4 linked regions of the Saccharomyces cerevisiae S288C genome follow. The gene in region 1 interacts genetically with each later gene. Each region holds a gene or a part of one and is shown in the gene's direction. Other genes may lie near its edges. The genes, in order: GEP3, INA17, ALD6 and ALT1.

Region 1 (8,055 bases):
CCGCCTCATGAGTGTAGGCTTAGAGATATGACATACTCTGCACCAATCTACGTGGATATAGAATACACTAGAGGTAGAAACATTATTATGCATAAAGACGTGGAAATTGGTAGGATGCCGATCATGCTGAGATCTAATAAATGTATCCTATATGATGCTGATGAATCGAAAATGGCTAAATTAAACGAGTGTCCGTTGGATCCTGGTGGTTACTTTATTGTTAACGGTACCGAAAAAGTAATTCTTGTTCAAGAACAATTATCCAAGAATCGTATTATTGTGGAGGCAGATGAGAAGAAAGGCATTGTTCAGGCCTCCGTTACTTCATCTACCCATGAAAGAAAATCTAAGACTTATGTCATTACCAAAAATGGCAAGATCTATTTGAAGCACAATTCCATCGCTGAAGAAATTCCTATTGCTATTGTTCTCAAAGCCTGTGGTATTTTATCAGATTTAGAAATTATGCAATTGGTTTGCGGTAATGATAGTAGCTACCAAGATATTTTTGCAGTCAATTTGGAAGAATCTTCGAAATTAGATATTTACACACAACAGCAAGCTTTAGAGTATATTGGTGCAAAAGTAAAGACAATGAGAAGGCAAAAACTGACTATCCTGCAAGAGGGTATAGAGGCCATTGCTACCACGGTTATTGCACATTTGACTGTGGAAGCCCTTGACTTTAGAGAAAAGGCTTTATATATTGCCATGATGACGCGCAGGGTGGTGATGGCAATGTATAACCCTAAGATGATTGATGATAGAGATTATGTTGGTAATAAACGTCTTGAATTAGCAGGCCAATTGATTTCTTTATTGTTCGAAGATTTGTTCAAAAAGTTTAATAATGATTTTAAACTAAGCATTGATAAGGTCTTGAAAAAACCAAATAGGGCTATGGAATACGATGCATTATTGTCAATTAACGTCCATTCAAATAACATCACCAGCGGACTGAACAGAGCTATCTCAACCGGTAATTGGTCTCTTAAAAGATTTAAGATGGAAAGAGCGGGTGTTACACATGTTCTTTCCAGACTATCTTATATTTCCGCATTGGGTATGATGACAAGAATTTCTTCTCAGTTTGAAAAATCAAGAAAAGTTTCCGGTCCAAGAGCATTACAACCTTCTCAATTTGGTATGCTTTGTACTGCAGATACTCCAGAAGGTGAGGCGTGTGGTCTAGTGAAAAATTTAGCATTAATGACTCATATTACTACAGATGACGAAGAGGAACCTATAAAGAAATTATGTTATGTTCTTGGTGTAGAAGACATAACATTGATTGACAGTGCATCCTTGCATTTAAACTATGGTGTTTATTTGAATGGTACTTTAATTGGTTCAATCAGATTCCCAACAAAATTCGTTACTCAGTTCAGACATCTGAGAAGAACAGGTAAAGTGTCGGAGTTTATCTCAATTTATTCAAATTCTCACCAAATGGCAGTTCATATTGCAACAGATGGTGGTAGAATTTGTAGGCCATTAATCATTGTTTCTGATGGTCAATCTCGCGTGAAAGATATTCATTTACGCAAATTATTAGATGGTGAGTTAGATTTCGATGATTTTTTGAAACTCGGATTGGTGGAATATTTAGATGTCAATGAAGAAAACGATTCTTACATTGCATTGTATGAAAAAGATATAGTTCCCTCGATGACACATTTAGAAATCGAGCCATTCACAATTTTAGGTGCTGTTGCTGGTTTAATTCCATATCCACATCATAACCAATCCCCTCGTAACACATATCAATGTGCGATGGGTAAGCAAGCGATTGGTGCAATCGCCTACAATCAATTCAAGAGAATAGATACATTATTATACTTGATGACTTATCCACAACAGCCAATGGTGAAAACCAAAACAATTGAATTGATCGATTATGATAAATTACCTGCTGGTCAAAATGCTACGGTTGCTGTCATGTCCTATTCTGGTTATGATATTGAAGATGCTTTGGTTTTGAATAAGTCATCCATCGATAGAGGTTTCGGCCGTTGCGAAACACGTAGAAAGACAACCACTGTTTTGAAAAGATATGCGAACCATACCCAAGATATCATCGGTGGTATGAGAGTTGATGAAAATGGAGATCCTATCTGGCAACATCAATCTCTTGGTCCTGATGGTCTAGGTGAGGTGGGTATGAAGGTCCAAAGTGGACAAATTTATATAAATAAGTCAGTTCCAACTAACTCAGCAGACGCCCCAAACCCAAACAACGTAAACGTCCAAACTCAATATAGGGAAGCTCCGGTAATATATAGAGGTCCAGAACCTTCTCACATTGACCAAGTTATGATGTCTGTTTCGGATAACGATCAAGCTTTAATCAAAGTTTTGCTAAGACAAAACAGAAGGCCAGAATTAGGTGACAAATTTTCTTCTAGACATGGTCAAAAAGGTGTTTGTGGTATTATTGTAAAGCAAGAAGACATGCCCTTCAACGATCAAGGTATAGTTCCAGACATTATCATGAACCCTCACGGTTTTCCATCTCGTATGACTGTGGGTAAAATGATCGAACTGATATCGGGTAAAGCTGGTGTATTGAATGGTACATTGGAATATGGTACTTGTTTTGGTGGTTCTAAACTTGAAGATATGTCTAAGATTTTGGTAGACCAAGGTTTCAACTATTCCGGTAAGGATATGTTATATTCAGGTATAACAGGTGAGTGTTTACAGGCTTACATCTTTTTTGGCCCCATTTACTATCAAAAGTTAAAGCATATGGTCTTAGATAAGATGCATGCAAGAGCTCGTGGTCCAAGGGCTGTTTTGACACGTCAACCAACTGAGGGTAGATCTAGAGATGGTGGTCTGAGGTTGGGTGAGATGGAGAGGGATTGTGTAATCGCGTATGGTGCTTCACAATTGCTGTTAGAAAGGTTGATGATTAGTTCAGATGCTTTTGAAGTTGATGTCTGCGATAAATGTGGATTAATGGGCTATAGTGGTTGGTGTACTACCTGCAAAAGTGCTGAGAATATTATTAAGATGACTATTCCATATGCAGCAAAACTGTTATTCCAGGAATTATTATCCATGAACATAGCCCCAAGATTAAGATTGGAAGATATCTTCCAGCAGTAAGAAATCATATATCTTGTACTAAATTTTGCGTTATGTTAGCAATCATATCTATTTCGTGAGGAACTTTAAGAGAGTTGAACGATTTCGAAAATTATATAACAGTAAACCGTACTTCTTTCATTTTTGTACCTTGCTTTACATCATTACTTTTTATAAGATCCATCGAACGTTTGACGTGTTTTCTATCCATAAACCGGCCAAAATATAAAAATATCCAGCTGACAAGAGAAAGCTTGGAGTGCTCACATGTTAGCACATGTGAGCACAATGATATATACGCTTTAAAAAAGACTTTTCTTTATTTTACACATTTATAGACTTAACTATTGAATTCAAGACAAAAAATCAAATCTTGCTGAGTTGTTAAGCGTCTGACATTTCAACATCTTCGTTGTCATCATCACTTTCCAGACTGTTTAATAATTTTGCTTCTTCTGTTTCTCTTTCTTTGTCTTGTTCTTCCATACTTTCTCTCATTAATCTGGCCTTTTCTTCCTTAACTTCACGTTGTACTGCAACATAAGAACCTAAAGGTGTTTTATTCCAAGCTACATCATTCAAAAATCTTGAAACTTCAGATTTGTTTGTTGGCCCAAATTCAACATCTGATCTCTTTTCTTGGATGAATGTGCTGTTTTGGTTCAATTTTTCTACAACAGTTGATAAACGTTTGTTAAGTTTGACATTAGTTGAAGTCTTGATGTAACGGCGTAAAGAGATAATAACCGGTGTTACAAGTTCAGGAAATGCAATGTTTTTACAGTACAGAGCAAAATAATCGCCCAATAAGTCCACAAACTGTTCTGACAAACCCTCTTGGTATATTTTTGTATTCAGATAAGCTTGCGTACATTTGATGTTGTGCTCAAAATCGAAAGCAGCCAAGTTAGGGCTCTTTTTGGGTGCCTTAGTGAAAGCCGTTGAGGTTAAAATTTCAGAAAGTAAAGGATATATTGGAATAAAAACACCACTATTTTGAGAAAGTCTAATAAGTGATTTAATCAAATAAAATCTTAATGGGAAGAATTGTGGTGTTGGGATTAATCTGATTACACCCAAAGTAACCTGAACCAATGGGTAAATTAATTGTCGTAAAGGAGATTCACTGCCATTTTCCTTTTCTGGTTGACAAGCAAACGATAGTACACGAGACCAGAAATCCAAGGAGTGACAGAATTGCCAGTTGTATACAATCTTGTAAGCTTCTGCGGAATTAATTTTACTGGATTTTTTAGTTGTCGCGTTCATTGTATTTCTTAAATGAATTGCCAATTGCCTAATATACTCAAATCCAACTTGGTAACCTAGAACTTCATCGATACCGAACAATTCAGCTGCCGAATTTTTTTGAAAATTAATCAGTGGCATAGAACGCATATTCGTTTTACGACAACTTTTGATAAAAGTGGAGTACGTTGTTTTTAAGGTTGTTTCTAGCATAGACTTCTTGAACTCTTTGGTGGTATTGATCAAAAAGGCAAAAGAAGCAATCTGGGTTTCTAATTCTCTCGTTGTAGACCATACTCCAACAATTGATTTAATAAGCTCCTTTAAGATCCTTCTGTATGATAAAAGATAAGGCATCAATTCGTTGACAGAATGAAGAACTAATGCTGCTGTTTCCGTATTAGTAATATCATTCAATAAAATCAACAAAGAGCCAGCATGCGACTTGACAATGGACGAGACCCTGGAGACGTTACCTCCATTTGGTAAGGTCCTTGCGCCTTTTACAATCTTGTATGGGGCCATCTTTTGAATCGCTTGTGGTACATCTTTCAAGACCATGAACATCAATTCGTGGAATGCTTTCTCATCAGTGATAGCATATTTATAGTCTTCGATGTTTTCTTCCTTGTTCAAATTTACAGCAACCTTGAAAGCACTGATTATGTTCCTTAGTAATTTTAAGCTTGGAGAATCATGAAGTTGTTTTTTCCATTTCCTAACCAATTTCAAAGAAAGCTCAATTTTTTCCTTTTCCAGCTCCATTTGTTCAGATTTTTCTTCAATATTACTGTTTCTTTCAGCATCTTCACCTTCATCTTGACTATCAATTCCATCCAATGGATTGGTACCTGCGAAGTCCAATAAATCTTTATCATTTTCCTCCAAATACTTATAAAATTCGGGATCCTTTTCGGCCAACTTTGCCATGCTTTGTCCCATGTCTTCCTCCTCTTCGGAAGAGGAGGAATCTTCATCAGATTGCTCTTTCGTAGTTTTTTTCTTCAATTTTTTATTCTCTTTTGGAATTTCGATGCCCTTTTCAAAAAAAGTTTCGACAGACATGTCCTTAAAAACCTCTTCCTTTGCAGATTTTTTCAACTGCTGTTGTTCCCTAGTACCAGCAGCATCGGCCTTTTCCTGATCAGTTTTGTTGCCACGACGGCCTTGGATTCTCTTCTTTTGGATCTTTTCCTTTCTTCTTTGGTCTAGAGTATGCTTCAAATGCTTCGATTGAAACTTCTTGGTCGATTTAGAAACTTTACCCATCTCCACTTATTCTATTGTTGACCTTCTCTATCTCTCTTACAATTCAAAAATTAGTATAAATGAATTTACCCATGTACAAGTATTCTGTTTCTCTATTTTCTCTGTAAATATCATGCTCATCTCATCGGAAGAAAAAATTCAGAAAATTTTTCAAAACTCGTCGAAGATGATAACTACTATTTGATGTTATGGGTCAAGATACATTTAACAGAGCAATATTAACGAAGGACCTTCCTAGTAACACGTCTAATTACTTTGAACAATTCAATATGCGGGAATGTTGAATCTGTGTCATGCTCTTCGAGGCGTACGTCAGTTTTCCTGTTCTGTGATTGTGAAAGTGAAATGTGCGTCATGTTCCATAAAACTACAGGATCAGGATCCTAGTAAACCAGGATATTATACGAAGCCAAAAAGTCTACCCGACTCAAAACTAAATCCTGACCTCCAAGATCTGAAGTATTTGCTATTCAGTCAAGACATACAGCTCTCGAAACAGGCAACTCAAAATGATCCTGACCTCAAAACCAAAAGAGATTTACTATTGAGAGTGATTTGCAAAAGGTGCAGTAATGCCCTTCATCATAACAATTATAACCCGGAAGAGTTTCCCGAAAGCACATTAAATGATATTCTGAACTACGTCCCCAGAGGCTCAAATGTTATGCATATTGTCCCCTTTGTAGAATTTCCCTTACATTTAGACCCCAATGTTTTGAAACGAAATGATTTAGATACTACATTAGTGTTAACGAAAAGCGATCAAGTTTTTAAAGATAAAAATGCTGTCAGCAAAAAGGTTCCTATATTCATGAAGCAATTTTTAAAGAACACTTTAAGAATTGACTCAAATAAAACATTCGCCATATCTGCGCTGAAAAACTGGAACATATCCATGTTTTACAACTACTTTAAAAACTACACATATTTGCTAGGCAACCCTAATGTTGGTAAATCAACTTTGATCAATACTCTACTACAGAAATATCTTGGATATAAGGTTAAAATTGATTCTACTGGGAAAATTAACTCCCCCTCTGAAGAAGTGATGCAAGAAGCTTTTACGAACCCGAAGAATTTTTTCAAGATTCAAGCTGCTGGTGTATCACATATTCCCAATTTAACTAGATCCGTACAAGCCTACCAAGTTGGAGGTAAAATACTTTTTGATCTTCCAGGCTATTCAACTTCCACCTCCAGATTACGCCTAGAAGAACTAATCGACGAGCGTTGGCTTCAAAGGCTGCGAAAAACCGATTTATTCAATCGGAAGCATATAAAACAGAAGACTTATGAGTCTATGAAGGGCACATCACAGGGAGGCTGTTATACCGTGGGAGGGATTTTCTACCTGGTACCTCCGAAAGGATCCATAAATCAGATTGTGAAATACATACCAGGACCATCAAAAACATTCAAGAACATTGAAAAAGGTATTGATGTATTCAACTCGTGCAATTCATCATCTGGCACACATCCGTTATCACGGTATTGTGGAATTAAAAGCGTTATATGCGAAAAAAGCCAGTACAAAAGGTACGCAATACCTCCATTTATTGGAAGTATAGAGATCGTTCTGAAAGATATAGGATATATTTTATTAAGGACAACTGGGAGGTATGAGTTCAAAGGACTACATGAGATATGGATACCTAGGGGTATCCAAGTAGGTATAAGGGAACCGCTAGAAAACTTGATTGAGTCTGGCTACCAGCGTTACATTGAAACAAATGGTAAAGAGTCAAGCTGTCCCAGAGATAGACCGATCATCAGTTCCCTGTATGAGATGGCCCCGGATGAAGCTGATACTTTGAACGCAGTGAAGAAGTCGTATTTAGAAAAAACCGAGAAAGATTTATCTGCTAGAAGATTTGTCGACGATGATCCTTATGATTTGGTTCAACACCTAGAAAAAAAAAAGAATCCCTATTGGTACTACCAATGGTAAGACTCGCTGTTCACTTGGTTGCACCAATAAGTAGTAACGCACATGTAAATATGAATGTAAGTAAACTAAAAAGAAAGTTGGGAACAAAGTATATTCAAAAACGAATATACAGGAAATAAGCAATAGAAAGTATTATGAATTATACTGTTGATGTTTATTCTATCTACAAAACACAAATAAAGTAGAGTATAAGGCGAGTCAATAAAAAGGCCTCAACTCAAAAAAGGGAGAGAAAATGTAGGAAGGAAATGAATACTATTATACAATGGTACTGTGAACAGTAAGAATATTTTCGTAAGGTAAAAAGAAACAATAACAAACAAAAAAGGTCGAAAAAACTGTTCAAAATAAAGTCTCTATTCGAAGAAAACTGAAAAAGTGGAAGTGGAAATAAAAGATAATGTAAATAATCAGTCCAATGAATAGATCGGTTAAAGCAATTAAGCAAAAATAGTGGAAAATATAGTAAAAGTAGATAATAATTCCTTCATCTTTTCACT
Region 2 (7,129 bases), on another chromosome or scaffold:
CATGAGACGCGGCTCCTATTATGTGTCTCTGGGTGCCTTCGGCATCTTAGCAGGCTTCTTTGCTGTCGCTATCCTGAGATTGATATTATATGTTTTGTCATTAATTGTCTACAAAGATGTTGGTGGGTTCTGGATCTTTCCCAACCTGTTCGAAGATTGCGGTGTACTAGAGAGTTTTAAGCCACTTTACGGTTTTGGTGAGAAGGATACTTATAGTTACAAAAAGAAACTGAAAAGAATGAAGAAGAAACAAGCCAAGAGAGAAAGCAATAAGAAGAAAGCCATCAATGAAAAAGCCGAACAAAACTGAACTTCCATTATCCTGTATAGCTCTACTGTATAAACCTTCTATATTGTAACCTCATGAACTCGCACATGTACAAACCTTCAAGAGAACCGGCACCAAAGCGCTACCATCTGGTTGCTTCATCGCTTATAGTGAGTAGTTTTAGATTTGAAGGTTATCGCTCCTGGCAAAAATCTGAATCCACACACCGCATAATTAGCGGTTATTATTACTCAATTTCCGGCCGGCTTTAATATACTTTCACCGAAAGGTCTCTATATAGAAGCTATTTGCTGACACTTGCTTACAGGAATCGATTATATAAGAAGGGTTCTGCATCTGGTTGCCTACTTAGTTTTCGGTATTTTTGAAGATTAGCAAAAAGATCAAGATATCAAGTATTTTCATATTTGTCATTTTAATGTTTCGCTCGGGTTACTATCCAACTGTCACTCCTAGCCATTGGGGCTATAACGGCACCGTCAAACATGTACTGGGAGAGAAAGGAACCAAGTCTTTGGCTTTCAGAGATTCTAAGCGCCAAATTCCTCTTCATGAATTCGTAACCAAACACGTGCCTACACTCAAAGATGGTGCAAATTTTAGGTTAAACAGCTTGCTTTTCACAGGTTACTTACAGACCCTTTATTTGTCAGCCGGTGATTTTTCCAAAAAATTTCAGGTATTTTATGGAAGAGAGATTATAAAATTTTCTGATGGAGGGGTCTGCACTGCAGATTGGGTTATGCCTGAATGGGAGCAAACATATTCATTAAATGCTGAAAAGGCTAGTTTTAACGAGAAACAATTTTCGAACGATGAAAAGGCCACCCATCCAAAGGGTTGGCCTCGTCTTCACCCGAGAACTAGATATCTATCCTCTGAGGAACTTGAAAAATGTCATTCTAAGGGTTATTCTTACCCTTTAGTGGTAGTACTTCATGGTCTTGCAGGGGGAAGCCATGAGCCTCTCATCAGGGCATTATCTGAAGATCTATCAAAAGTCGGTGACGGTAAATTCCAAGTGGTAGTCCTTAATGCTAGAGGTTGCTCAAGATCTAAAGTCACCACCCGTAGAATCTTTACCGCATTACACACAGGTGATGTGAGAGAATTTTTGAACCACCAAAAAGCTCTATTTCCGCAAAGAAAAATATATGCAGTCGGAACATCATTTGGAGCAGCCATGCTAACGAACTACTTAGGTGAAGAAGGAGATAACTGTCCATTAAATGCTGCAGTCGCTCTCTCAAACCCATGGGATTTCGTACACACTTGGGACAAGTTGGCTCATGATTGGTGGTCCAACCATATTTTTTCTAGAACTTTAACACAATTTCTAACAAGGACTGTCAAGGTTAATATGAATGAGTTGCAGGTACCAGAGAATTTTGAGGTTTCGCACAAACCGACAGTTGAGAAACCAGTCTTTTATACGTATACCAGAGAAAATTTGGAAAAGGCTGAAAAATTTACAGACATATTAGAATTCGATAATCTTTTCACTGCCCCATCGATGGGCCTGCCGGACGGGTTAACATATTATAGAAAGGCCAGTTCGATAAATAGATTGCCTAATATCAAAATCCCAACTTTAATAATCAACGCAACGGATGATCCAGTTACAGGTGAAAACGTAATTCCGTACAAACAAGCTAGAGAAAATCCTTGTGTGTTGTTATGCGAGACTGACTTGGGTGGACATTTGGCTTATCTCGACAATGAAAGTAATTCCTGGTTAACAAAGCAAGCTGCCGAGTTCTTGGGCAGCTTTGATGAGTTAGTTTTATAAATATGTTCTTAGATAAAATTCCTTACACATAATAATCTGTTCTTTTATTTCTCTATTTACCATCCTCCCCACGCTGTGCTTTCCAATCCGCCGATCCACTTTCTCTACCACGATTAGATGATTTCGAAGCGGCACTGACGCTTTCGGATTTCGTTTCTTGTGTCTTTCCTCTAATCAGCTCTATCTGTTCCTGCTCATCGCGACATGCAAGTTGGTATATCTCGTCATCATTTAACGAATACCTCAACCTCTTCGTTATAAATTGACAAAGGAATTTTAAATCTTCTTCCTTGATTTGATCTCTGGGCAGCTCGTTTTGGAGGATATAGCGTTTACTAACGTCAACAACGCCATCTTTACCGAACGCAATACAGTAACTCATTTTCTTGTTCCAGTTAATTGAATAGATATATGGTTGGTCGAATGATTGCTCACAGGAGTCGACATGAACCCACCTATTCAAAAAATTTGAAAAATATTCACACCAAACATGATCTTCTCTATTCCAGACGTAGCGAACATCTAACCCAAACGACTTCAAAATCAAAGTAAATAAATTGCACCATTCACCGCATCTTCCCTTTCTAGTTTCCAGCAACTTAATTGGATCGTTATAACGAGGAAATCTAGTGATATTTCCGCATCGGTTGCATTTATAGATCTCAACAGTTCCGCAATTGAATTTAGATTCCTCTCCATTGGGCCCTTGACTGCCCAGAGGTGTCATATTTTCTGAAGTGTTCTGGCCACAATGATTACAATCTGGTTTATTGCACCATTTGAAAAAATCTTGTTTGAAGTAGCGAAGCAGCTCCTTTACTAGATAATCCGTGTATATATTTTCCCCCTCTGCATGCCCATCTTTGGCAAATTCCTTATCAACATTTTTATATATTAGATCCAGATCCAATGTCTCCAGGACTATAGAATGCCATGAAGGATTGTCATAGACTGTACAGAGATGTTGACTCTGACCTAGGACTCCTTGTGCGAATTGATTTGTATGGACTAAATTCTGAAACCTTATATTCTCTACAGGTGCAGCTTTCTTGAATTTAGACAGTATGAAATCCTTATACTTAATTAACAACATTTTGGCTATTGAATCAAAATCTATGTTATTTTTTTCGTATACCTCTCCCATTGCTACTCCACCTGTTACCTTCTTCAGGTTGTTTTACGTCTTCTATATCTGTTCCCAACGCATCCTTTTTTCTTCGCTACAATACAAGGAAGATTACACTACGCAAAGTTTCGAAAACATCAAGAAGCATAGAACAGTTGAAACTAGGCAACAGGACTGTTTCAATTACATGATTGAGAATTTATAAGCGCATGAGACCACGTGACCAAGGCTTTTTGGTTTTAGGGTTTACTTACTCGGTACTCCTAATTAGTCTTGCTACATTTTACTGGTTACGCAACAATGACTCTTTCCTGCACTACTGGTGTGTATTACTGCTATGCCCTGCGACTCTCTGGCTGTGGGCCCTCATAGCCTGGTGTGACAGTGAAATGTTCGCAAGTAGTAAAGATGAATAATCGTTTATAATCTTATTTACAAGTCAGTGCATAAAATGATATAATATCACCTCACGCATGCCTATTTTATACATGTACTTTATATACCTCCCTTTTTTTTAACGCATTTCTATTATAAAACACTTCTGCTTTCCTATCCTCAAGATCAGTACTCGATCATCTATCAGGAAAGGAGCCAAGTTAGAAATATTTTCGTTTACTTTAGATTTTGAATGATGCAGATACACGCTTCCCTGGGAAAGTTTTCTTCTGGCTTCTGATACTGAACAATTTACTAGTTTACAAATTAACTTTATTAAGTCAATCTCTCTATCAGCATACTGCAAAATTCTGGCTTTTTTACATAGATCAACTAACTTCGCAGCAGATAAAGTTCCGTCATAACGTCCAAAAATAATATTAGAAAGCGCTTCTGAATCCGATCCGGAGCCAACTCCATATAACATATCTGTGACTTCTTTAGCCAATAAAGTTTGGCCATAACGTAGACTGGGTGATTTGATATGCGTTTCCACAATTTTTTTGATTTCACTTGAGTTTAAAAACGTAAAGATCTTCAAGAACTTGGGTACATCAGCATCCAAAGTATTATAAAAGAACTGGTAAACATCATACGCCGTATTGATTGAGGGGTCAATAAAAACAGCATTGCCTGCACTTTTCCCAAATTTCTCTCCTGTAGCCGTCGTCAACAAGGGCACAGTGATACCAAATGGCAAACCCTTATTCTTTATAGGCTGTATCCTATTGATGAGATCGATACCGGCTGTTATATTTCCCCATTGGTCGTTACCACCTACTTGTATAGTCACATTCTCTTCCTTATACAAATGGTAAAAATCGTACGCTTGTAAAACTTGGTAAGTAAATTCGTTAAATCCCAGACCATTTTTGGTTTGAAGCCTCGAAGAAATTGAATCCCTCGCCAACATAGATTGTACCCGAATGTGCCTACCAAAATCAGCTAAGAAATCCAACATTTTGATGTCTTTCCACCAGTTGAAATTATTCCTTGGTGTATATTTTCCGGAAGGTACATCTTCAGTGAGAGCACATCGGTTTCTGTAATATTCTAGGCCATTTTTGAAAAACCTTTGTAATTGCTGCGAGATGGATGCCACATTGCTTTGCCTAATATCGTTCTCCATAACGTCTCTTTCTGTTTTCCTACCACTTGGGTCCCCAACTTTCCCTGTAGCTCCACCTATCACAGTGACAATGTCGTGACCTTTTACGTAAAAGTGTAATAAAACCATTAGTGGAACTAGATTTCCCAAATGAAGTGACTGAGCTGTGGGATCCACCCCGCAGTATAATTTGATCTTATCGTTACCGTTCAACTTCGTCCGAAGGAAACTCTCTGGCTGTGAGACCTGGGACACTAGACCCCTTTGTTTGAGTTCGTCTAAAATATTATCGCTTCGAGAATCCGATGTGCCCTGTACTTCTAAAGCACTAGGCTGTGAATAAAATCGAGATTTAGGCAATGTTATTGCACTTAGTCCGGAATAAGTCACCAGAGGCACAAGTCTCCTACTACTATTGACCAAATTACTACAACTTCGTAATTCGAGCATGATTCACAATGTCTACCTGTAGATTGCTGTGTTCAATCGGAAACTGGAAATTCTTTCTTAACATTATGAGCCAACCACTTTTTATTTTCTTTTCAAAACTCCCGAACAAGACCAACATTACCAAACAGACTCCACTACTTTTCCATAAGAAGGAAGCACAGAACACCACACAAGATCATATAGCACAAATAGCGCAACAGCTTCAAGTCCAATATTAAGATATAATGCCTCCTCTTCCACAAAATTATGCGCAACAGCAGCCTTCGAATTGGGACAAATTCAAAATGGGGTTGATGATGGGTACTACCGTCGGTGTCTGCACAGGCATCCTATTTGGTGGATTTGCCATCGCAACTCAAGGCCCAGGTCCTGATGGTGTAGTTAGAACACTAGGGAAATACATTGCTGGTTCAGCGGGTACCTTTGGGCTATTTATGTCCATCGGGTCTATAATCAGAAGTGATAGTGAAAGTAGTCCAATGTCCCATCCTAACCTGAACCTACAGCAACAGGCAAGACTGGAAATGTGGAAGCTTCGTGCCAAATACGGTATACGTAAGGACTGAGGGGGAAATTTTGCATATATTTACGCTTCCCCATCGTTTTCTTAAACATTGTTACTTATCTGCTTATTTTTATTTAAGATATCTATCTACCTGTTTATAACTCTCTCAATACCATGTATTTAAGTTCATCACGACGAGGCTTATTTACTTAATATATTTGTATACGTGGGAAATGTCTAATATGTATACCGGTTTGCATCTTATTTTGGGTGGGGTCACTAACGGCAAGACTCATAAAATAAAGTATTCGCTAAGCACTCTGTTATATTTGTAAACTTTGAGAAAGGAAATGGGAACCAAAGCATATAATAGACAATATGTTAAAAAGACGCTCTAATGCTCTCATTACTTTGAGTAGAACTAAATTGTTTCCCATAACAACCGTTGCCTATTACCACAGGCGCCTCCTCAACCAACAACGAAGAGCTGTTTCAACGTCACCGAAGAAAGAAATCAAGAGCCTAGAAGACTTGGCTAATTTGGATTCTTTGGATGGTGTTGATACTGAACTGATACGCGATTTGATTAATGAGCATACTACAAAATTAAATATCAAAAAGGAGTTAGATATGCTCAAAAAATTCTCGCAAGAGGAAGAATCAGGACATGAGATCCCTGTAAAAAGATTTATTAGGCCTCTTTGGATGTTCATTCTAATGGGATCTTCCGTTTATTTACTGCTTCACTTCTCTTGGTGGAAACTAGAGCATGAGGAGAGAGAAAGTCAGCTAAAGAAAGAGGTAGAAATCCTGGAACACCAATTAAATGAGTTAATTGTACAGGATAAAACCCACAATACTAGTAGGGGAAAGGGCAGTAATGAATCAACACATATGAAGCCTTGGTATAGGAGATGGTTTTGGTGAGAATTAGTTATCTTGTTGGCTTTTCGTGTTTCTAGAATGTACCATTGCCTATGTAAATATTTTCAAATTGCTTGTTTTGAAGATTTCTACCCTCTTTAGCAATTCACACGTGAATACGTACAATATCTATTAAGATTATGAAAACTGCACATATGCATTATGTAAATTTATTATTTTTAGTCAGCACACATTCACCAGGTTTTGACGGAATACTATATATACTGAAGGTTCCATCATCAGAGGCAATATAGACTTGGTTGGGAAATTCGTCTGGAAACCCTAAGCAACTCCTGTTCGATTCATTAACTGTTATATAAGCAAAGTTACGGCTCAGGTTCTGGTTTGGTATTGAAGATTTTATTTTTTTCGAGAAGTAATTCGCAATTCTTGGTTTCGAGAGAGGTATTTCCTTTGGAGTTCCCATACTGGGATTTGAATTTGATGCTAGTATATATTCCTCTTCATTCCAGTGGCCATTGCTAGAATTATCTCCAGGGAGG
Region 3 (7,931 bases), on another chromosome or scaffold:
ATCCTCTTGCTCATCTTCATAAACCATCTTTACTTTTGCTGATTTCACAAGTTTCTTTGCCGGCTCTTGTTCTTTTTTTTCATTATCTTCCAGTCTTCTTTTTGATCCAAAGATGTCCTCAAAGAATGGTATGGTAATCTCAACATCCTTCAAAACTGCAGGATACATGAATCGTTTGACATCATTGTCACGGGAGGAAGCTTCAATTTCGCCGCCCAAGATCTCTCTAAAGATGTAAATAGATTTCCCAACAATTTTGCCAAATACATTACAATCGTTCAGTACGTGCTTAGAATCCGCCAGCACAGTTATAAACCATGTGTTCCTTCGTCTATCCCATCCCAAGAGTCCATCTCTATTGAAGCGTATACGAGGATTTTTTTCCTCAGCAACTGTACGGTACTCACCAGTACTATTTGCATTAAACATTAGCCACTGTGTTGGCTTTAACTCTTTAAATTCTCCATTGGTGAATGTGCCATCTGAGAGCATAGATAAGAACCTCTTACATGTCTCAGGGCATTCTTTAGCCCATAATTCAATGGCAATGTTCCCCTTTGTTGTATACAGTATACATTTAGCTGTTGTCTGAGGTTCTATATTACTGGACATAGCATTCTTACTTTGGTTTAAAACTCATCATACATGTTTCCTGTAATACGCTTTGAATAATAAATTATTCAATAAATTATTCTCAGGACATTTTGAACCTTTTTTTCTCTTCAGACGCTTTACAGCGGAAAAGGAAAAAAAAAAAATTGGAAGTTCTTTCAGTAAAGTGAGATATATTCAGCAAACGAACATAACGTCAGGATTAATCGGAACGGTAATTTCTAGCATCCACTCAATTTCGTGATTAGCTTTTGGCGCATAACTGATTTTTTGCTTTAGCACATCACAGCTAGAATAAACTTCCAAAAATCACCCGCTTGCAATGCTGTCCATTTTAAGAAATTCGGTGAGACTAAATTCAAGGGCTCTTAGGGTTGTGCCATCTGCCGCCAACACCTTAACATCGGTTCAAGCATCCAGAAGACTTTTAACAAGTTATTCAAGTTTTTTACAAAAAGAAACAAAAGACGACAAGCCTAAATCCATTCTTACAGATGATATGCTGTTCAAGGCCGGTGTTGACGTCGATGAGAAGGGCCAAGGCAAAAACGAGGAAACATCAGGAGAAGGAGGAGAGGACAAGAATGAACCTTCTTCCAAAAGTGAAAAATCTAGAAGAAAAAGACAAACTTCTACAGATATTAAAAGAGAAAAGTATGCTAACTGGTTTTACATTTTTTCGTTGTCTGCGTTGACAGGTACTGCAATCTACATGGCAAGGGATTGGGAGCCTCAAGAGTCTGAAGAATTGAAGAAAGACATCGATAATGGCTACACTTTATCACTTATGTATAAAAGATTCAAGGCCAGGTTCAACTCAATGTTCACCTACTTCCAAGAGCCACCTTTCCCTGATTTACTACCTCCACCACCACCACCACCGTACCAAAGGCCATTAACTCTTGTTATCACATTGGAAGATTTTTTGGTTCATTCTGAGTGGTCTCAAAAGCATGGTTGGAGAACGGCCAAAAGACCTGGTGCTGACTACTTCTTGGGTTACCTATCGCAGTATTACGAAATTGTTTTGTTTTCATCCAACTATATGATGTACTCTGACAAAATCGCTGAAAAATTAGATCCAATCCATGCATTCGTATCTTATAATTTGTTCAAGGAACACTGTGTTTACAAAGACGGTGTGCACATTAAGGATCTGTCAAAATTGAATAGAGATTTGAGTAAAGTAATCATTATTGACACTGACCCTAACAGTTACAAATTGCAACCTGAAAATGCTATTCCAATGGAGCCATGGAATGGTGAAGCTGATGACAAATTAGTAAGATTGATTCCATTTTTGGAGTACCTTGCCACTCAACAAACCAAGGATGTTAGACCAATCTTGAACAGCTTTGAAGACAAGAAGAACCTAGCAGAAGAATTTGATCATCGTGTGAAAAAATTGAAGGATAAATTTTACGGAGATCATAAATCTGGTGGCAACTGGGCAATGACGGCACTAGGTCTCGGAAATTCCCTGGGCGGCAGCACCAAGTTCCCGCTCGATTTGATTCATGAAGAAGGACAAAAGAACTATTTAATGTTCATGAAGATGATTGAGGAAGAAAAGGAAAAAATTAGAATACAGCAGGAGCAAATGGGCGGGCAAACATTTACGCTGAAAGACTATGTTGAAGGTAACTTGCCTTCGCCAGAAGAACAAATGAAAATACAATTGGAGAAGCAGAAGGAGGTAGACGCCTTATTTGAAGAGGAAAAGAAAAAGAAGAAGATTGCTGAATCCAAATAATTTTCATGTAAACCCTCTTCTCATGTATCTACGTATCTATGTGTGTATGTAAATGTACCTGTACACTCCCCACACCCTCATTTTGTTACTGTCATGTGAATAAAACTTATGTATATTGCTAACTTACTACCACTGCACCTCCTAACATCACCATACTACGTACAAACACGCCTATTTATTTTTTCTATGTTAAATTTTAACGATGTAGACACACCTAATGATCTGATGCGCTTTGCATATCTCATATTCCTTCACTAGCATAAAAATCCAAAAAAAAAGAATATTTAGGCCGAATGGAATTATTCGTAACGTCATACGAAAAAAGTTTCAATTCGTACAATGCCTGGCATGTTCATTCGAATATAAGGCCGCCGCCTTCCAGTCAGGGTAGCCAAAAGTATAATCCCGGGTGGAAACTAAACTAAAAACCGTACTCACAACTTTCCGCGGACGCTAACAGACAAATAGACACACTATCAGGTCAGGAACTGCCGTCACATACGACACTGCCCCTCACGTAAGGGCATGATAGAATTGGATTATGTAAAAGGTGAAGATACCATTGTAGAAGCAACCAGCACGTCGCCGTGGCTGATGAGGTCTCCTCTTGCCCGGGCCGCAGAAAAGAGGGGCAGTGGCCTGTTTTTCGACATAAATGAGGGGCATGGCCAGCACCGAGACGTCATTGTTGCATATGGCGTATCCAAGCCGAAACGGCGCTCGCCTCATCCCCACGGGAATAAGGCAGCCGACAAAAGAAAAACGACCGAAAAGGAACCAGAAAGAAAAAAGAGGGTGGGCGCGCCGCGGACGTGTAAAAAGATATGCATCCAGCTTCTATATCGCTTTAACTTTACCGTTTTGGGCATCGGGAACGTATGTAACATTGATCTCCTCTTGGGAACGGTGAGTGCAACGAATGCGATATAGCACCGACCATGTGGGCAAATTCGTAATAAATTCGGGGTGAGGGGGATTCAAGACAAGCAACCTTGTTAGTCAGCTCAAACAGCGATTTAACGGTTGAGTAACACATCAAAACACCGTTCGAGGTCAAGCCTGGCGTGTTTAACAAGTTCTTGATATCATATATAAATGTAATAAGAAGTTTGGTAATATTCAATTCGAAGTGTTCAGTCTTTTACTTCTCTTGTTTTATAGAAGAAAAAACATCAAGAAACATCTTTAACATACACAAACACATACTATCAGAATACAATGACTAAGCTACACTTTGACACTGCTGAACCAGTCAAGATCACACTTCCAAATGGTTTGACATACGAGCAACCAACCGGTCTATTCATTAACAACAAGTTTATGAAAGCTCAAGACGGTAAGACCTATCCCGTCGAAGATCCTTCCACTGAAAACACCGTTTGTGAGGTCTCTTCTGCCACCACTGAAGATGTTGAATATGCTATCGAATGTGCCGACCGTGCTTTCCACGACACTGAATGGGCTACCCAAGACCCAAGAGAAAGAGGCCGTCTACTAAGTAAGTTGGCTGACGAATTGGAAAGCCAAATTGACTTGGTTTCTTCCATTGAAGCTTTGGACAATGGTAAAACTTTGGCCTTAGCCCGTGGGGATGTTACCATTGCAATCAACTGTCTAAGAGATGCTGCTGCCTATGCCGACAAAGTCAACGGTAGAACAATCAACACCGGTGACGGCTACATGAACTTCACCACCTTAGAGCCAATCGGTGTCTGTGGTCAAATTATTCCATGGAACTTTCCAATAATGATGTTGGCTTGGAAGATCGCCCCAGCATTGGCCATGGGTAACGTCTGTATCTTGAAACCCGCTGCTGTCACACCTTTAAATGCCCTATACTTTGCTTCTTTATGTAAGAAGGTTGGTATTCCAGCTGGTGTCGTCAACATCGTTCCAGGTCCTGGTAGAACTGTTGGTGCTGCTTTGACCAACGACCCAAGAATCAGAAAGCTGGCTTTTACCGGTTCTACAGAAGTCGGTAAGAGTGTTGCTGTCGACTCTTCTGAATCTAACTTGAAGAAAATCACTTTGGAACTAGGTGGTAAGTCCGCCCATTTGGTCTTTGACGATGCTAACATTAAGAAGACTTTACCAAATCTAGTAAACGGTATTTTCAAGAACGCTGGTCAAATTTGTTCCTCTGGTTCTAGAATTTACGTTCAAGAAGGTATTTACGACGAACTATTGGCTGCTTTCAAGGCTTACTTGGAAACCGAAATCAAAGTTGGTAATCCATTTGACAAGGCTAACTTCCAAGGTGCTATCACTAACCGTCAACAATTCGACACAATTATGAACTACATCGATATCGGTAAGAAAGAAGGCGCCAAGATCTTAACTGGTGGCGAAAAAGTTGGTGACAAGGGTTACTTCATCAGACCAACCGTTTTCTACGATGTTAATGAAGACATGAGAATTGTTAAGGAAGAAATTTTTGGACCAGTTGTCACTGTCGCAAAGTTCAAGACTTTAGAAGAAGGTGTCGAAATGGCTAACAGCTCTGAATTCGGTCTAGGTTCTGGTATCGAAACAGAATCTTTGAGCACAGGTTTGAAGGTGGCCAAGATGTTGAAGGCCGGTACCGTCTGGATCAACACATACAACGATTTTGACTCCAGAGTTCCATTCGGTGGTGTTAAGCAATCTGGTTACGGTAGAGAAATGGGTGAAGAAGTCTACCATGCATACACTGAAGTAAAAGCTGTCAGAATTAAGTTGTAATGTACCAACCTGCATTTCTTTCCGTCATATACACAAAATACTTTCATATAAACTTACTTGGTCTTACGTCATAAATAAATATGTATACATATAAATTAAAAAATTTGGTTTTATATTTTTACAAAAAGAATCGTTTACTTCATTTCTCCCTTTTAAGCGATACAATCCATGAAAAAAGAGAAAAAGAGAGAACAGGCTTGTGCCTTCTTTAAAACATCCCACACAAAATCATATTGAATTGAATTTTACATCTTAAGCTAGTGTACAACAACTGCTATATCCAAAGAAAACTAACGTGGACCGCTTTTAGAGTTGAGAAAAAGGTTTGAAAAAAATAGCAATACAAAGACTTGTTTCATATATAAAATACAGGGAGCACATTGAGCTAATATAACATAAACACTGCGAACCAATTCCAATCAAAAGGTACACATGAGAGCATTCCCCCGAGTACTGCCATTTCGCCATCAGAGATCATATAATAACATCCTTCTTCGAACAGTAAGGCTTTTTGGTTCATCACTTTCTTCTTTTGATTTCTCTAGGCAAATGCCTAAGGTGGACCCTGACAATACCGCTGCAATGCTACTACAGAAAAACTTGATCCAAAGAAACAACATGCTCTATGGGTATGGATCAGGGACAATACGATGTACTTTGCTAGACTCAACTGGACGAGCCAAATCACCATTAGTAGAGATAAAACGTGAGGATCTAGTATCAAAACATGGCTTGTTGCCCAGAGATCTACGTAAAATTGAAAAATCAAGGAAGAATGACTTAGTCCCTAGTTTGCTCGTGCGAGAAAATTCCATACTAATCAGTTTACTTACTGTGAAAGCCCTAATTAAGCCTGATATGGTTATTATCTTCGATTCAGCCGGCAGTGGAATAACTTTAAACTCAGAAGCTCACAAGGATTTTATTAACGATATGAAATTGAGACTAAAAAATCAAGAAACAAGCGAGCTAAATAGCGATCCACTTCCTTATGAATTCAGAGCTTTAGAAACGATCTTCATTTCGGCATTATCTAACCTTACCAGTGAAATGAAGGTGTTGCTAACCATATGCAAGGGGGTGCTTCAAGATCTAGAATTTAGTATAACAAGAGATAAATTAAGGTTCTTACTGGGTCAAAACAAAAAATTGAGCAGCTTCAATAAAAAGGCTGTTCTAGTTAAAGATATGCTGGATGACTTGCTAGAGCAAGACGATATGCTTTGTGATATGTACTTAACCGACAAAAAGGCTGGAAAAATTAGAGTTCAAGATGATCATACTGAAATTGAAATGCTTCTGGAAACATATCATAACTATGTCGATGAAATAGTTCAGAAAAGCGAAAGCGCCATATCTGACGTGAAAACCACAGAAGAAATCATCAATATAATCCTAGATTCTAACAGAAACGAATTAATGCTGTTAGGGATAAGATACGCCATAGGAATGCTTTCGTTGGGAGGCGCTCTATTCCTGGGTTCTATCTATGGTATGAATCTGGAAAGTTTCATAGAAGAAAGTAATTATGCGTATTTAACTGTCACCATTTTGGGGTTAATATCTACTGTTTGGCTCTATGCGAAGGGAATCAGACATTTGCATAAATTACAACGTATGACATTATTGAGTAAAATAAAAACAGATTCCGTTCACGAACTGTTGAAGAAATAGTTATCACGAAGAGTCAATCAATCTTTTTAATACGCATTCAAATGAATAAGAACAACTTTCACTTTTTTAAGTATATAAAAAGCCGTACAGGCGAACGTATATAATTAAAATTCTTTGGAAAAAAAGAAAGCTCGCACTCAGGATCGAACTAAGGACCAACAGATTTGCAATCTGCTGCGCTACCACTGCGCCATACGAGCTTTTGTTGTATAGTTTTAAGGCAATAGAATAATAACACTTATCCACGCAACAGTAATGTGGTTAAATAATAACTTCCTGTCAGGACTTGTGGTTGATTGGTGAAAATCAAATATCATGCTGACTACTAGAAATATTAGCAGTATATTATCATATACGGTGTAAGAAGATGAGATAAGGATTGAGAAACAGTCATCAAGTTTAATGAAAGTGAAATGAAAGGATTGATTATATAATAGGATAATGAATCACAAAGTATAAAAAGAAGGAAGAAAAAATGATATCATTGAGAAATTGATGAATTTTGAGATAATTGTTGAGATTTAATTGTTGATAAAGGCAATAATATTAGGTATATAGAATATACTAGAAGTTCTCCTCGAGGATATAGAAATTTTCAAAGGGGAATCGATTTTTCTACAAATAATATTACTATTATTCCTCCTTCCGTTTTATATGTTTCATTATCCTGCTATATTATCAATCGTTGCATTAATCGTTGAATTTCAACTTACTCGAACTTCGATGACAGTTTCTCATCCCTTATGTTATCTTCTTACACTGTATGTGATAATATACTGGTAGTATGACTACTAGTTGATAGACGATAGTTGAATTTATTCCATAAATTATTTATGTAAAACTGCCGACCCCTTTTGTCGATTTCTATATTCTCGAAGAGAACTTCTAACATTTTCTGTATACCTGATATTATAGTCTTTAACAACAACGGAATCCTCACAGTTATCTACGATTCATCTATTTCTCATCAGTAACAAAGATATTTCAGTAGTTATTTTATATAATTCATGCGTTTCACACATAGAGATGGTTTCTTAAGTTTAGAATGACGTATTTAGCTATAATAAAATGTTTCATTGTGGGATAAAAACTTGTGGGCCATGACATGAGCAAATTTATTATCAATGTTGATAATTAGAGGTAAAAAATTAGTATTAATGAAGAAGTGAGT
Region 4 (8,434 bases), on another chromosome or scaffold:
AAGCCTGAGCGTAAAAATATGTCCATTTGATAATTTTGTGTAACCTTGGGTTTTTGGAGTTGTATCTATCGTTCAACCTTGGTCCATATGTTCCGCACCACCATTTCCAAACATAAAGAAGGAAAAGCGGGATTAGCCCAAAAACTGCGTCCAGTTTGGTATCTGGTAAATGTTTCAAGGTCTCTATGACCACTTTATAGGTGGCAGCTCTCGTGTTAACCAAACTATTGTAACCCATTAGTGCTGGAACTTGACCCCATAAGATATTAAACGCGGATCCAGTCATAAATCCAGCGACTGCATTTAAGGAAATCAGTTCGACAAGAAACCCTAGACGCAAGAAGCCAACTGCTGCCGAAATGATACCACATAGTAACGCTAGAGTCGTTGCAATAACGGGACCAGTTATGGCAGAATCTCCATCAGGATATTTTGCCGTGACATCCGCAATGACTTTGGCGGTCTGCAAAGACATGACAGCCACGGGCCCAATACAAACATCTTTTGATGTAGCGAAAAAAGAGTAGGAGTAAGCACCAATAAACGAGGAGTACAACCCATACTGCGCTGGTAGCGTGGCGACTTGTGCATATGACATGGATTGCGGCACGAGAACACAGCCAATGGTAATTCCTGCAATAAGATCCGCAGTAAACCAGCTAAAATTGTAATGTGGTAGCCAGTTGATGATGGGAAAAACACTCTTAAGATAACTACATGCTCCTTTCACCGTGAGATGAGATCGTATACTGTGGTCATAGTACTCTTTTAGCGATACCGTTGTTTCTTCAAATTGGGAAACGGAATTGTCATACAACGAGACATCTGAAGGATTAAAGTAGTCAATCTTCGAGCCTTTTACGCCCTTTGAGCTGTTCACTGCGTTGTGCTTTGCTACAGAATTGCTCTCTAAGTCCTTATCATTAAACGTGTCATTATTTTCATTATTTTTATATTGGTCATACTCTAATTCTAAATCATCAAGATCTGGAACGGTGTTGTTAGTTTCCTGAAAGTCAGGAATTTCTACCTCTTCAAAGTTTGGATAACCTTCCCTGGACATATCTTAGATAATTCCCTGCTAATCTATACACACACACACCTCAAGAAAGAAAAATGTTACAGAAAGATAAAAACTTCCAGGCTTTAGTACGAGCCTAACCTGTTCAAGTATTGTGTTGATACCTTGATATATATATATATGCGTATTATTGAACGCAGAACACTGAACGGCAGATCATCCCTCAACCGGCTATGACTAAAAACTGGACTTTGGTTCAACCATACCGCTATCCGACGTTGCTAGTTTCTGCGATCTTTTTCAGTCCTTGTTTAGGACCACAACTGTGGCCGAATTTCTCTCTTCACGTGACCTGACACGGCCACAGTGGCACGTGACATTTACTCCAGTATAACAGCCAACAACAACTAATCAACTTCCCACCGGGTGCAATGAAACATCAAAGGCTCCGTGGTGGAGTCGGCATTAGTAGTCGTATATGCCCTTGCACAAGCTCGCATATAGAGCCTTCTAAGGCGTCGCTCTACAGTCTCGTCATAGAAGACGGCAGTCAATGCCAGCTCGTTCTCAGGAGAGAGCGGGGGGTTTTCTATGAAGAGGCTCTTGTAAATATGAGACAGCTGTCTTGCGAAAAGTTGGGCAATTTGTTTGGCCGGAGAAACTTCGCCAAGAGCGTTCCTGACAGGAATTTGCACGCCAGGGGAGGGGTATTTTTTGTGATTGTAGCTTAGATGACTGTTCGCTATTAAAAATTTGTAGTGGTTTCCAAGAGAATTTATCAGGAATATCCTCTCTGGTGTGAAGGTATCAAGATCTGTCCCACTCAGACGCATTAACGATGGCGGCGTTTGGACCCAAGGGTTTTTAACGTTAAACAGTGTTATCCAATCCGCCTTCAGCCAGACGCTCCTTGAAGACGTTGAATTTAGTTTCCCATTGTTTACAGCGATGGAATCTACCAAGTCTCTGTGGTTCTCAAATGGCCAGTGAGTCAGTAGAAAGTGGTAGTGTTTTTGGAAGAGATGCGCATGTCGTGGGAGCGGGTTATTCCATTGGAAGTGCGTTTGGTAAATGATACTCTCCAGTGCTTTTAAGCTTGCCCTTAAATCTTGTCTTCTTTGCGCCTTCTCGTACAGTTGTAGTGATTTTGTTAACGGCACGGCTATTTCTTTGAACTTGTAATCGCTTTGTTTACTTGTGAGTGTGGTCGTCAATGCTACCTTGGTTATTTGATGAAGCGGCGTAGACTCTATGACCGGCAGTAATAAGGCGTTAACCTGGGACGCCATTGTTGCTCCAAGTTCGCAATCGCTGTTCTGATAGAAGGCCTTTGTATGCTTGCTTTATGTCCGCCGCGATGGGGATTCTTCCTATTTTTCTACTGAAGGTGCGAAAGACTTCATTCTTCACCGCATTCAGTAAATGAATTTCATATATATACATATATACAGGTAGGATAACTTATGAAAAAAAAAAAAAAATAGAATAAAAAGTTATTGATGCCATCATTGGATACAGCAGTACGAACTTCTTGCTTTCTGATGCGCTGAATCCTGTGCTTCTGGCTTGAACGGCCTTATCCCTTCTGGAAGATCGTCCGTGTGAATGATCCGGAAATTTGATATAGTTTCGTTGTTAGTCAGGTTGCTGTCATCTTCAGTATTTACAGTCGCATGTGAGGCACAAGATGAAGATGACGGCAGATTCGTTTTTATTGCTAGTAGTTCTGATTTTTCATTGAACCAGTTATCTGGTGGAAATTCAATATGAACGAAAACATACAGATCGCCGCACCGGCCATGAGGGTTATCTAAAATGGGCCAACCTTCATTGGCGATTTTGATGGTGTCACCAGGTCTTACTACTCTGCCAGGTTTAACGCTCAATGTTAGTAACCTGTCGTCGAAGGTTTTTGTCAAAAATTTCTCAAATCCCGTCAAGGCCTCGCTTAACGATATGGTAATGCTTGTATACAAATCTTCCCCGGCGCCGTCGTCAAAGTTCTTCAAAAAGATTTGCTTCTGCTCCAAGTTTTCTTGTTTTTCAGTGAGATGGAACTTTAAATCACCACATGTGGTCTTATCGATTTCCTCGTCCGCCATCCCCTTGACTGTAATTACGTCGTTAAAGTGGTGTCCCGGAGCCACGTTCACTGTGATGATTTCCTTCTTTGACAGGAGCCCCAAGCCTGCGCAATCGGGGCAAAAGTTCTTTGGATTCTTGGGTCTTTTAGTGTACTTCCCCTTACCATTACATTTCTCACAGACCACCCATTGCGAAGCTACCAAACCGGGACCAAACCTCTTCAGACGTTCCTTTGAACCCTTTCCAGCGCATGATTCACATTCCACATCGTGTGTAACGTGAATTTTCCTCTTTGGTTTCCAGCCAGAACCGTGGCACTTTATACAGATGACCTGTCTCTTTAAATCAAACTTCAGCTTCTTGCCCATGTACAAATCCTTCAAAGTAAGAGATATATCGATATCGATATCCTTAGAGCTTGTAGAGTTGCCCTCTTCGTACGCATCATACTCGCCAGGGAAATTATTTCCATCGTGACTTCCATTATTGAAGAAATTGTTAAAGAAGTTCATAAAATCTTCATCTCCAAAGCCATTAGCGCCACCGCTGCTAGCGGCACCATTATCATCACCATACAAGTCGTAATGTGATTTCTTCTCCGGATCGCTCAAGATCTCGTAAGCGGCAGTGATCTCTTTGAATTTGATTTCATTTACCTCCTTTGAGTCTTGATCCACATACTTGTCCGGATGATGTTTCAGGGCAAGCTTTCTGTAAGCAGTTTTAATCTCTTGCACGGTCGCATCTCTCGTCACCCCCAACACATCGTATAACCGGTCTCCTCTATCACTGCCACTCATTCAAAACTACACCTGCGTACTTACTTTTCCCTTTCTTTTGGGTCCAAGCGGCATATCTCTTAAGATAAGATAAGCCTGACTCTTTCTTTGCCTCTCTGCCTTTCTTTCTTCTTCCCTTCTGCAGAGGATGGCTCGTCGCTACTCAAATCCCGACCCAAGAAACAAAGAAACAAGGATTGCACAGCAGAGCGCTGCCCCACACACATATATGCATATGTTTATTTACCGCATATTCGTGGCTATATAATCCATATATAATACACAGCACATTCATGATATAATCTTACATAGTAGCACTTCCCATTAGACGTTTTCTGCTTTTACAGTACTGGTTTTTTTTTCACTCTTGCGTCTTTTTTTTTTTTCATTCTGAAGGGGTCCAAGCCTAACGATTTTCGACCTTTCGTTGAGACAACTTCACGTACTCTTCTGACCTGCTGTGGTTGACGTATTTAGAGTTTGCTGCGCCCTTTGTAAACGATCGTGACCCGCGGACCATACTAGGAAAAGCTCTTCCGTTACTACTACTGCTTTCTCGCTATTTTACTCTAGTTGTTCATACTAGTCACACGTTGCTCGAGAACAGGACCAGCTTCTTTGTTTCTCCCCCGCATTTAATTGTTTCTGCTTCTCAATTGAACGCATATAAATATATTTCCCCAGTCTTTATTTTGCTCTCTCCACGATGTTATCACTGTCTGCCAAAAATCACTTCACAGTGAGTAATTCTATAACTCACGTTATTAAGTCATATCATATAAGGACTCTCACTTCAAGCGCAGAAAAAATGCCACATATCACTACTCCTTTTTCTACCTCAGCCAGTAGTACAAAGTTAAAAGCTTTCAGGAAAGTTAGACCCGTCCTACAGAGACATAGCTCTTCCTGGATTGTTGCTCAAAATCATAGACGTTCATTATCTGGTCAATCTTCGCTAAACGACCTGCGTCATTTGAATCGCTTTCCACACCACACGTTGAAAACTTCGAATAACGAGTTTTATCCCGCCGAACAATTGACTTTGGAAGACGTAAATGAAAATGTCTTGAAGGCTAAGTACGCCGTTAGAGGTGCCATCCCAATGAGAGCTGAAGAATTGAAAGCTCAACTGGAGAAGGATCCTCAATCTCTGCCATTTGACAGGATTATCAACGCCAATATTGGTAATCCTCAGCAACTACAACAGAAACCTCTGACTTACTACAGACAGGTCTTGTCTCTCTTACAATACCCAGAACTATTAAACCAAAACGAACAGCAGCTAGTTGATTCGAAATTGTTTAAACTAGATGCCATTAAACGTGCAAAGAGTTTAATGGAAGATATCGGTGGTTCTGTTGGTGCTTACTCTTCTTCTCAAGGTGTAGAAGGTATAAGGAAAAGTGTCGCTGAATTTATAACGAAGAGGGACGAAGGCGAGATATCATACCCAGAGGATATTTTCCTAACTGCTGGTGCATCCGCAGCTGTCAATTACTTGTTATCAATTTTCTGTAGAGGGCCAGAAACGGGTGTCTTGATTCCAATTCCTCAATATCCATTATATACCGCTACTCTAGCTTTGAACAATTCTCAAGCTTTACCATACTATTTAGATGAGAATTCAGGTTGGTCAACTAATCCAGAAGAAATTGAAACTGTCGTCAAAGAGGCTATACAGAACGAAATCAAACCTACAGTTCTAGTGGTTATCAATCCAGGTAATCCTACAGGAGCTGTCCTATCACCTGAGTCTATAGCTCAGATTTTTGAAGTCGCAGCCAAGTACGGTACAGTAGTGATAGCTGACGAAGTTTATCAAGAAAATATCTTCCCGGGCACCAAGTTCCATTCTATGAAGAAAATTTTGAGACATTTACAGAGGGAACATCCAGGTAAATTCGATAATGTTCAGCTAGCTTCTTTGCATTCGACTTCTAAGGGTGTTTCTGGTGAATGTGGTCAAAGGGGTGGCTACATGGAACTCACTGGATTCAGCCATGAGATGAGACAAGTTATCTTGAAACTAGCCTCGATTTCATTGTGTCCCGTTGTCACAGGTCAAGCTTTGGTTGATTTGATGGTTCGTCCACCAGTGGAAGGGGAGGAATCATTCGAGTCGGACCAAGCAGAACGTAACTCCATCCATGAAAAGTTAATTACAAGAGCAATGACACTGTATGAGACATTTAACTCTTTAGAAGGCATTGAATGTCAAAAGCCTCAAGGTGCCATGTATTTATTCCCTAAGATAGACTTACCTTTCAAGGCAGTTCAAGAAGCTCGCCACTTAGAGTTAACTCCGGATGAATTTTATTGTAAGAAGTTGTTAGAATCTACTGGCATTTGCACTGTTCCCGGTTCTGGGTTTGGTCAAGAACCTGGTACTTACCATTTAAGAACAACATTTTTGGCACCTGGTCTGGAATGGATTAAGAAATGGGAAAGTTTCCATAAAGAATTTTTTGACCAATACCGTGACTGAATAAAAGGGGGCAGAACAGTCTTCAATAAACATTTAAATAGCTAGTTTATTATAATAATGTGATCGTTTCTTTCTTCCACAACTCACATATAGTTATTTGATATTATCGCATCTTCGCTTCTCTATGCCATGTTTCCATCAATACTTATGTTTTATTTAATACATATTTGTATCAGTATATCATATCATTTCATCTTCTTTTGCTTCGATTTGTAATGTTTGTGCGTATAAAATCAATTGCGTAGTTCGAACACCCGTTAATCCTTTACTTCTTACCAATGGCACCTAACTTTGCTTTTCTTTCGACCTTACTACGACAGATTTAGATTCAAACGATGACGCTAATATCAATAGCCAACATGGAAGCCAACCTATACAAAGTACAAACCAACTCCAACATTTCAAATCCAACCATGCTGAAACCAGTTTGTTTATTATATCAAATCCATGAAATTCATCATCAAAAAATAGTCCGAATAAGGTTATTGAAATAAATGGATTTGTCAAAATTAATAGTACTAAATTTTTTAGTTTTTGTTTCTGTTGTTGGGGGGTTGCTGGCGTTGTATCCATGTGATTCTCGACGAGCTCTATCTCATCTTTCGGCTCAGTTTTTATTGGGTTAGAGGATTGAGTTGTCACCTCATGTTCGCTAGAACTTTCAACAATGGTCTTCACAAATGTCATAGGAAATGCCAATGTGCCGATCAGTAAAGCCATTGCAAAGTTTATCATTAGCAAAGATGTTGAAACCAAACTGAAATATAAAAAAGCAACATTTTTCAACCTGTATGATAGTGGTTCTGAGATGTGAATTTTTCTGGAAAGTATCAAAGGTAAAAAACAAGATGCCATGCTAATTGTCATCAATAATCCCGATGAAGGTATTAGAAGAAACGCTTGTGAAACAACAAATGATATCACCAATGACACGAACCAAACCAACAACGCTACCAAATTATACTCGGAAAATAAGGATATATTTGCATAAGCATTGTTTATAAATGCATTTAATGAACTTATGGCGAATGCTATAGATAAAGCCACAGCGCTTGGCAAATAACTACTAATGGATACGAACTGACGTGGTGCTAATAACAAATAAAAGAAGAACGATTGGTGAAATTTTTCCAAAAGGTTATTAATAGAGCGAAACATTGCTTCGGGTATACGTCCAAATGTAGTAATATCATGACCACTGTTTCCATGTGCTTTCAATGTTACAGATTGAATCCTCCAGCCGCTAAATGCCTCGTTACCATGGGGCTTTTTAACACCGGACAACGCCCAATCCCTTATTCCCAGGCATAATATTTTTAATCTTGACCAGAAATTATTATTAGTTAACTGATCACTGGGTAGACCGTGCAAAGAAACTTTCATACCTTCATGTTCCGTAATGGATATAGCGATGTTGACAAGATCCAAATTGGGCAGCTCACCATTCAGACCGTCGTATGAGATTTCTACATACTCGAAGAAATCTTCCGTACTCGAATAATCCAACACAACAGCAGCTTCAATGGAACCACCAGTCAAATCTAAGGAAGTATGGTATGCCTCAACCCATGATCTTAATGCTGCACGAGGATTTTCGCTGAAGACAACAATTATATTCTTGGACCATACTGGCCAACGTGAGAAAAATCTTGCTAAAGATACACCCAAAGCTGCGCCGCCAATATTGAATTCATCATCTGAATTAAACCATGGAACGGCAAGCACCATCGCTTCTGTTCCATCACCCCTAGGAGCGTGCATTACACCGTACAATGTTTCTCCATATTGTTCATTTTCGTAAATAGCAGTCTTAGTACCAAATTCTTGTAACCAAGAACCCATCAAATTGTTTCTTTCCATAGAAGTCATGTTTACCATTTCTTTAATTTGAGATCGATAGCCCCTCAAAATGTTCCATTCAGATTCTCTAAAGTAACTATACGCTTGTGAAGGCATCAATGCATTCTCAGAAATGTATGTTCTTCTGTACTGTCCATCCATAGGCAGAATAGCTATAGAAATAAACCCAAATAGAGCGCATAGCATGGAAATAACTGGTAATAA

Evidence for each region.
Region 2: mutations in GEP3 (region 1) and INA17 together harm fitness more than expected from each alone (negative genetic interaction), as found in Saccharomyces cerevisiae (2 studies listed by BioGRID).
Region 3: mutations in GEP3 (region 1) and ALD6 together harm fitness more than expected from each alone (negative genetic interaction), as found in Saccharomyces cerevisiae (2 studies listed by BioGRID).
Region 4: mutations in GEP3 (region 1) and ALT1 together harm fitness less than expected from each alone (positive genetic interaction), as found in Saccharomyces cerevisiae (2 studies listed by BioGRID).

The regions. Positions count from the first base shown.
Region 1 is NC_001147.6:725,064-733,118, reverse strand, and holds GEP3 (Gep3p), read left to right. Parts: upstream 1-5,884; coding exon 5,885-7,555; downstream 7,556-8,055. Other genes in the region: DNA-directed RNA polymerase III core subunit RET1, read left to right, coding at 1-3,111; mRNA-binding ribosome synthesis protein NOC2, read right to left, coding at 3,475-5,607. UniProt on the Saccharomyces cerevisiae protein: Interacts genetically with prohibitins and thus may be involved in the mitochondrial lipid metabolism.
Region 2 is NC_001148.4:363,020-370,148, reverse strand, and holds INA17 (Ina17p), read left to right. Parts: upstream 1-6,080; coding exon 6,081-6,629; downstream 6,630-7,129. Other genes in the region: Sec63 complex subunit SEC62, read left to right, coding at 1-310; EEB1 (medium-chain fatty acid ethyl ester synthase/esterase), read left to right, coding at 708-2,078; PNG1 (peptide-N4-(N-acetyl-beta-glucosaminyl)asparagine amidase), read right to left, coding at 2,131-3,222; ERI1 (Eri1p), read left to right, coding at 3,414-3,620; tyrosine--tRNA ligase MSY1, read right to left, coding at 3,719-5,197; MGR2 (Mgr2p), read left to right, coding at 5,422-5,763; ATG21 (Atg21p), read right to left, coding at 6,787-7,129. UniProt on the Saccharomyces cerevisiae protein: Component of the INA complex (INAC) that promotes the biogenesis of mitochondrial F(1)F(0)-ATP synthase. INAC facilitates the assembly of the peripheral stalk and promotes the assembly of the catalytic F(1)-domain with the membrane-embedded F(0)-domain.
Region 3 is NC_001148.4:429,005-436,935, forward strand, and holds ALD6 (aldehyde dehydrogenase (NADP(+)) ALD6), read left to right. Parts: upstream 1-3,583; coding exon 3,584-5,086; downstream 5,087-7,931. Other genes in the region: putative peptidylprolyl isomerase CWC27, read right to left, coding at 1-612; protein translocase subunit TIM50, read left to right, coding at 935-2,365; YPL062W (uncharacterized protein), read left to right, coding at 2,891-3,295; MFM1 (Mfm1p), read left to right, coding at 5,519-6,760.
Region 4 is NC_001144.5:316,173-324,606, reverse strand, and holds ALT1 (alanine transaminase ALT1), read left to right. Parts: upstream 1-4,591; coding exon 4,592-6,370; downstream 6,371-8,434. Other genes in the region: SUL2 (sulfate permease), read right to left, coding at 1-1,063; GEP5 (Gep5p), read right to left, coding at 1,429-2,310; XDJ1 (Xdj1p), read right to left, coding at 2,527-3,906; GPI-anchor transamidase subunit GAA1, read right to left, coding at 6,656-8,434. UniProt on the Saccharomyces cerevisiae protein: Alanine aminotransferase involved in both alanine biosynthesis and utilization. Under respiratory conditions, constitutes the sole pathway for alanine biosynthesis and catabolism.